Regions from separate parts of the Mus musculus genome. Here region 1 is reported to be linked to region 2. Evidence: microRNA targets listed by miRTarBase, many of them from high-throughput screens and not tested one by one. Region 2 holds a microRNA gene; the other region holds the end of a gene's coding sequence.
What was found. The annotated mature microRNA mmu-miR-743b-3p reads GAAAGACAUCAUGCUGAAUAGA and lies in region 2 at 1,033-1,054, opposite strand. An mRNA with a match to its seed (bases 2 to 7 or 8) in the 3' UTR can be bound and repressed. Matches are read on the target gene's strand: a 7mer-m8 pairs with bases 2 to 8, a 7mer-A1 pairs with bases 2 to 7 and ends in A, and an 8mer does both.

Region 1: miRTarBase lists Dcun1d1 as a target of mmu-miR-743b-3p. Seed matches in the 3' UTR shown: 8mer at 348-355.

Annotation. Positions count from the first base shown.
Region 1 is chr3:35,892,017-35,896,078 of GRCm38, forward strand. It overlaps Dcun1d1 (DCN1, defective in cullin neddylation 1, domain containing 1 (S. cerevisiae)), which reads right to left. Exons shown (of 7, transcript NM_001205361.1): 7 at 89-3,683. The coding sequence ends at 3,604. Among named protein-coding and RNA genes, the nearest start is that of Dcun1d1, 39 kb to the right of the region's middle.
Region 2 is chrX:66,776,234-66,780,301 of GRCm38, forward strand. Mir743b (microRNA 743b) reads right to left here and starts at 1,099; the gene lies at 1,023-1,099. It overlaps Mir743 (microRNA 743), which reads right to left and starts at 585; the gene lies at 524-585. It also overlaps the pseudogene Gm14681.

The DNA.
Region 1 (4,062 bases), not on the chromosome of region 2:
TCAATGGAAACCAGAAATTAACTTCACTAGATTCCTATGAAATAAAAAGTACTGCTATGATTATAAAAATGGAAGCAATAAAAGGGTTCAGAAATACACTCAAGTTTATAATCAATTAAAGGGTGAGCCATAATTTGACCCTATTCATCATCTGTCATATAAAAGCCACAGTTCAATTATTAAGATATATGATAAATAGTTCACATTTTAAAACATTTATCATTACATTATCAAATTTGGTAAACTCTTATCAAAACATCTCAGCATTCAATATAAACCATATTATTAAAAGTTTAAGGTAACAACAACAACAAAAAGCCCAGAGGTGTCAGGTAAATATTTCCTATTAAAGACACAATTTAACATTCAGAGCCACATAAACGCTCACTGAACGGTCATTCATGTTACAAGGGCATACTTTGTAAACAAGTATAACTTTTCCCAACACCATTTTCCATTTTTCATCCCCAAATTATTCTCTTAGGTCAACTTGCTCCTATTTGTATGCCAAAATGACAGGTTTCCAAACAGTCCTTAACAGCAACACACGTAAACACACAAGCAGGGTGGGCATGGAATGGCTCAAAAACTTATCATCAAAGAAAAAAATAAAAAAAGAACTCTGCACTCAGATCCTTGAGGGGGGAAAAAATGTCAACCTTGTTTAAGAATTATTCAGGAAAGAGATTACATAAAAGGCTCCCGATGGTTTCAGTGAGCGAATTTACCAACACTAAAACTTTTTAAAAGTTCGATGAGGGGTGCACTCACAGTGCCGCAGTATACAACTAACGCAGTTAAATAAACAACACAGCTGAGCACATTGTAAACATTACGGAGCAAACACGTGGCGTAGCTTCTCTTCCCCCAGATGTGCCATTACAGCGCTCGGCCATGAAAAGTCTTCAAGTCTAGTCTAGTTATGTGAAACACTAAAACACTGAAATAATATGGGAGAAGATTTAGTCATGGCAAATTTACTGAAGCTTTTATTGCCTCTGTGGGTAATATGACAGGGATTGGAAACGACACACTTGAACTTACAGAGATATGCAGATGATAGTCACTCAAGAGAACCTTGACCTCAAGTATTTTTATATGTGGGTACTTCTCATTTTATACAGTTTACTATTTAAAAAGCATTACATTTAAAAATGTGTACCTGTTCTGACATTTGGCAAAAAGTAAACTCTCCCTATGGTTCTGTCTGGAAAGAAAAGAATCAGCTTGGAGACCTGACCCACACGAAGACTGAACCCCATGATCCTCTGCCGGCAATAGCTGGCTGTGTGTGAGTGAGTGTGCCCTTCCTCTGGAAGACTCCCCGACGCCCCGCCCCCAATAGGGTAAGCATTTGTATTACAAAACATTTCCTAGAACCAGACAGTCACCCTCAGAATAAACACATTAAATCAATTTTCTCTTGGAGCCCTAGCAAGTCTTGTTTAATTCTAAGATGCCATCATGGTGAACAACCTTAACTCTTTTTGCTACATAATAAAAGCTTTATATATTTTTGTTTATAATTACACAGTAATTGTAAATGTTTAGTACCAAACTGATGACAAACACTATTTTGTTAAAAAGTCTTGCATTTAAAAATAAAATCTGTAAAACCCAAAGCATTAGGCCACACACAAATATCAAGATTTTTATGAAAAAAAATTTATGAGGCAGGGAAAGAAGCTAATGGAGTCTCATTTGAAAACAAATCATATCTGAATCAATCAATCTGAAAACAATACCAAAACTCAAAATGTTCCATGTAGGGAATAAACAATATAGGTCTGTAAAACTTTTAAAGATATATATACATATATCTTTAATTTTTTTCATAATTGAAGTTCTTTATATTTACAAAAAATGAAATCAAGAAATACTGAAAACAGCAAGATTCTTTTCCTTTTAATGACCAATCCCTGTAACGTGAATAGAAATTTACTCTAAGCTTCTTTTGGTAGAAATGCATTCCTAAATTAAAGTTATGATTGGATTAATGATATATCTGTAAGGTAAGCTTTCAATGCATTTTCCAAATCATGTGACTAAAAAGCAGTTTTAATCATTTCCATATCTGCATAAATTGTTCCGCTATCCTGAAGAACATTCCTTGGTACCCTGCAGAGGACCTGGATACATGAAGCAAAATCTGTTCCTATTGAAGACCAGTCACCCAACATTTAGTTCATCATTTTAACTTCCTCATGGAAATATGTATGAATACACCCCTTTCACATGTCAGTATGTTATCAGAGAAACAAGCATTTTCAGCAGGAGAGCAAGGCATGAGTCCTGTCATGGAAAAACAAAAAACAAAACCAATCAAGACTGCATTCTGCTGTGATGTGGAAATAGCAAATGCAAGTGAGACAAAAACAGTCAAAAGTCAAATAATTTATAGAACAGAAGCCATTGGTATCTGCACCAGTGCTCGCCTGTCTGACAATCTCTGCTTCTGGAGTAGACTTGGCAACCACAGTGATTTAGCAGTAAGCCATCTCAACAGTCAGCAGCCAACATGGCTGGACCACGCCTCAAAGAGCAGTGCCATGGGAGAAAGGTTGAACTTCACGGCTCATCACAACCATTTTCAAAATCTAAATCTTACTATCTTCTTATAAATTAAGTGAATTGCATTGTGTTCCATAGTGCGATGACAAAAAATTAAAAAAAAAAACAAACAAACCTAATACCCTCATGCCTAAATTTAGAATATTATATTGTATAGCAATCCAAAACATTCAAAACAAATGAAATAGTTTAACTTATTCAGAAGGCATAGAAGTATTTCAGAGCACAATGAAATCCGATTATGTGGTGTGTGATGCACGAGTGTGGAGTCTAACATCTGATCTCATTACAATATTTTTTTAAATAAAAGTTCACTGCAGGACACTGTATAAACATGGGTAAGATAACCACAGACCTGTTCTGTAGAACCTTTCTGAGCGTCTGAAACACAAGACATATTTCAGGGAGTCCCCAGATTATCCTTTTTTTTTTTCATGTGTTGGTTATTTTGATATTTCTTATATCAGGTATTCTACTCACACCAGCAGTACATGTAGTTTGCCAGGAAAATTAAATTCCCCCAACCAAACACCATTTCAGATGCGGTACACTCAGATAAATCACTCTCATTTGAAGTGCTGCCAGCACAGTCTTTGCAACTAGCCCAAAGCATATACTTAAGAAGTTTTTATAAATTGTTGTGGTGTTCATTATTATGTTTAATTCTTATGCCAAACTGTTTTCTGATGAAGACAGCATTGTGCTTTATGCAAGAATGGAAACCTCAAAATAATCACCATCAAGCTTCTATGACTTATGGGAAGACAGACTAAGATGGTCCACAGGTGTAAGATGAAATCCACAATGTCGGAATTATAAATGCTTAGAGTGGCCCAGACTAGAAGACAAGCCCAAACCACCAGTAGAAGAATGGAGTACGATATGGTCCAAGATGTATCCTTAAAAGTTTTGTCTCAACCCTCAGTTTGAATTATGAGGATTGATCTTCAGTCCAGCCAGCAGAAATTGACTGTGCATTTTCCGTTGTATTTATTGTACAGACTATGTACATTCTAGAAGGTTCCTTTAGTGCTACACTGTTGTACTTTTTGTCCCAGCAATTTGAGGGCGTGCAAATTCCACAAAGTCATCAATAAGGACAGGCCATGCTCCTGGAAAGAAAGAAAAAGAAAAAAAAAATATGAGAGGAAAGGGAACAGAGAAAAGCAGAATGAAAGCTATTATGTTGATAGAATCCTTTTATTTTATAACTTTCTTGTAAGAATTAGAGTATGTTACTCTTATCTACTCCCAGTGACCACTCTTTAAAAATATTTTTATGTCTTAATTTATTCCTGTCTTTAATATATTTTTCTAAAATGGGGTTATTGCTTAACCACTGGAAATATCTCTTCTGAGCAATAAATCAATAATACAGTAGTAGTATGGTTTTCAGAGAGTTTTATTAAAGTCAGGCAGTCTAGTTAGTGATGCTGTGACAAGCTGTCTAGTCCCTTCCTCATGAGCACCTCTGTTTAGTAAAGAGTATAA
Region 2 (4,068 bases):
GAAGGTGACAACAACACCATTAAAAACCCTGAAGGTGTCCTAGGGCCCAGAAAAGTCAAAGAACACCATAATCAGAAATGCTAGGATATTTGTACTTATACAAAAATCACTATGCTAAAAGTAATGAGACAGCTTGTTAGACTTATTCTACTCACACAGAAGAACTGGTTAACAGTTTAAGCAAATATGGCTCTGTATAGAATTTTAGCATGTAGGGCGGGCCTCAATCATGTCCTAATAGTATCCTATTTATCAATCTGCCTTAATGAGTATAAAACCTTAACATATATCATATTTATTCCTATCTTAGGGAATATTCCTTGTACATAACATACTATGTCCTACTATATGGTTGACTGCCAAACTTTGTGTTAATTCTCCAATCTATATGCGGCTATAAAGTTAACACTGGGAATCAAAATTGTACTTAGGTAACAGATTAGGACTGGTTACATTTTGTGTAACTACAGATAAAACACCCTGACCACATAATACCACCTGCAATGAAGAACACAATAAGCCCTACTCTACTCAGCTTGGTGTCTTTCATTCTTATAAACATGACAGGCACCAATCTGAATACAGCACTGCATACAAGAACTTTAATGAGAATGCTCTGCCCCAGATCCTTCATCTACATGTCACACAAATCATTCTGCCCCACTCAACATGAAAACTCACTTCTGTTTATATGTATATATTAGAAAACATTCCTACAGTAGGCTATGAGTTTCTAGTTCTTCACTGTATACTATGTCCTGGTCTCTATTTACAGTGTTGATTCTCAAATCTACATAGATAAAAGATGTATCATTTGTTGATTGTGGGTTTAGTTTCTTCTAAGTATTTTTTTCTTTAACCTACATGTTATAATTGTGTAAAAATTGAACATCTAAAATTATACTCTGGATAAATATGGATCCTGAGGGTTACATATGACTAATTACAATGAGGGATTCATGTCAAGTGTAACTGCACTGCACCACTCTGACCAATTAAGGCATAATAAATGAAGAATATCATGGGCCTTACTCTATTCAGCATGATGTCTTTCACAAATATTTCACATGATGGACACCAGTCTGAACACAGCACTGCACACAACATACTGCCCTCTCCCACTCCTATTTCAGTGTCCTGGACAAAAAGTTAAGTACTAGTTGCATGCTTTGCATCAGTATGACTGATGCTTCATCTTTTTTTCTCTACCATGTAGTAATAACCATCATATTTGAGGATCCTGTCTAAATTCACCTTGAGGATGTATGCTGTGAAGATAAATACAGTATATACTAGTTTTCATGAGCCTTCATCAATTCTTGTAGTCTAGTGTGATAGGTGAACACTAGATTTCTTTATTCACAGGTCCAGGAAATGACAAAATCCTTCACCTTTCATTTCTCCTTCTGAATGTTGTGATCCCAATTTTTTATCTCATTTTGCTGATATTAAATATCCATTAATAATAAACATATTACTTTTATAATTGCACTCTCTGACCATTTTGAGGCATGTGTACAACCTTAAGCACCTTTTAAGTCTAAAAAAGTGGGGCTTTAAATGAGAAATGATGAAAATGGTAGCAATCTCAAGGATGCCTTTGAAGACGAAGTATAAGGTCCAGGGTATACAAAGTAAGGAGCTTGTTGAACATTACTCACTCTGAGAGACCATGTGTACACGCACTTAAGTCTCACTGACATTAATGTGTATAGGGATTGACACTAAAAAGCTTTCAGGAGAAATAGTACTCAGCAGAGAAGAGCCCACCAACTGCTTTTCCATGGTCAGCACTGAAATAACATACATAAAACTTTCAAAATATGGACTAAGCAGGGCATGAATGAGAGAGAGAACAAAGGGGTTAGTTGATTAGAGTGGCTGAAGGGAAGAAACGAAAGGGGAGAATTATAAAATATTTTAATTTAAAAAGCACTTAAAAATTAAAATGAAACTAAACTTATTTTCCATAGTGCTATGTCCCTAATTTTAAATATTTTCACCTATGAGAAATAGGAATTAGATGAAAGGTTCCCCCTATATCTTCACCTAAACAATGTCCTGTGAAGGTAGCTACAATCGATCTTAGAATCAGAAAATACTCTTGCATGTGCATCTATGTTCTTACATTTACAATGACAGTACTTTATGAGTATCCTTATATTGAGAGAGATACCCCAAACTGTTTAAACTGTTTAAACCCTTTTCTTAAAGAGACTTCCTCCACTGCCAGAGATCTTGAATAGCCTCCTGGTCAGTCATCCGGAAACAATTCTTCACATAATTAATGAACTTGGCTTCCACTTTGGGAAGAGAACCGCCTTTTTCTATACTTGCTTGCATTTTTGCCTTAATGTCTTCTACAGAACTAGGTCCTTTTGGTGTTTTAGGAGTCTTTTCCTGTTTTTTGAAGGACTCTTGACCCTTTGATCTCGGTGTTGACGGTTTTAAGTCTTTTCCATTTTGGTTTGATTTTTGTGCATTTTTGGCTGGGGTATCTCGTACAGATTTCTTCACTGGGACCTTTTCTTCAGTTTCCTCTTCATCAAAATCATCATCATCATCATCCTCATCATCCTCATCATCGTCCTCATCATCTTCATCAAGTTTTACTTTTTTCTGTATCCTTATATTGAGAGAGGTTAGTAGAAAGTGACTGGTATCTGTCCTATATCACAATGCACACACCAAAATGAATGGAGACATATCATCTCATCTGACTCTTGCATTACCAAGAAGTTTCAGGAGTCCTTAACTCAAGTTCTTAGGGAATATATATACTCTCCTTCACTTTCTATCTCTACCACTTCTGGATCAGAGAGATAAAAGTCCTTTAACTTTATTTAATTACTGGGAAGGAAATTATTTTTTTTTTCTTTAGATTATCTTCTTTCTTTACATTCTCTATTTTGAAAGTACCCATGAGGTGAAACATGGATAGTCTACACTATGTTGAAAAAGTAAGGATATGGGGCAACAAAGACTCAAACCGTTTCTGTGTTTAGTCTTTCATTAACACAGTGTACCTCATTTTCTTTTTATGAAAGCATAATTCTTAATTTTAGCACCTTGTTCTCCTTTTCCTTACCTAACATAGATGCTTGAATGCTGTCCCATGAAAGTGATTAAAAAGATACACACAATTGTATAGTAAGGCTTTGTGATCATCCTGAAAACCATTATCAGTGATCTTACATGGAAAGCACTAATACTACCTAGAACCTATCAAAAATAACTGAATTAAAGAGCAGTACTTTACCTGGAAGATTTGTCGGTAGTCCAACTGTCTAACAGCTTCTTGAGTGAGATATAACATAAAGCATGAAGATATGGAGGTATCATCCATGTAGGCTAATCATCCCAAGCAGTTTTCATCACTTCACCAATTACAGCATGACATATTAACATTGATTTATTTATTTTCAACTGTTTGGGAATACAAAATATACTTTGTCACCTTGCATGATAAAGGAAGACCTCTTGACCTATAGCCAGATAGCCAGTGTGACTTTAAGATTAATCAGTGATATACTTTGCAAATGACTTTTAAAAACTAGGTAATGAAAATCTTCTAAAAGAATCAGAATATTGGGAGCATAGGATGAGAATACAACACAATTGTACCTGTATATCGCTGTTCAATTACTGGAGAAAGTTACAGAATACAGAAGATAGGAACTTGGTCTATTTAAATTCAAATCACTGATACCATCATAATTTCAGTGACTTGAATTTAAATCTGTTTGGTTCTTTTTCACTTAGGGCCATATTTATAAAGGAAGACTCTAATTACTTGTAGCTTTTCAGTCCACTTTCGTGCACTCATCATCTAAGTTGTCACAAGATATTTGAATTGATATTCAGTTGGGCCTGAAATCATTGATTGGTTTTATTTCTGATATTTATATTCATGATCCCTATTGAGACTGGCATGCAATTTTCTGTTCTTATAATTTGTATAATTTGGGTTCTGTGCAAGCTAGAATAATGCTAACTTCCACAACATTTAAACTTAAAAAAAAAATGAGAGCATAGTTTCTTCAGGTACAAGGAAGCAGATTCTGGAGC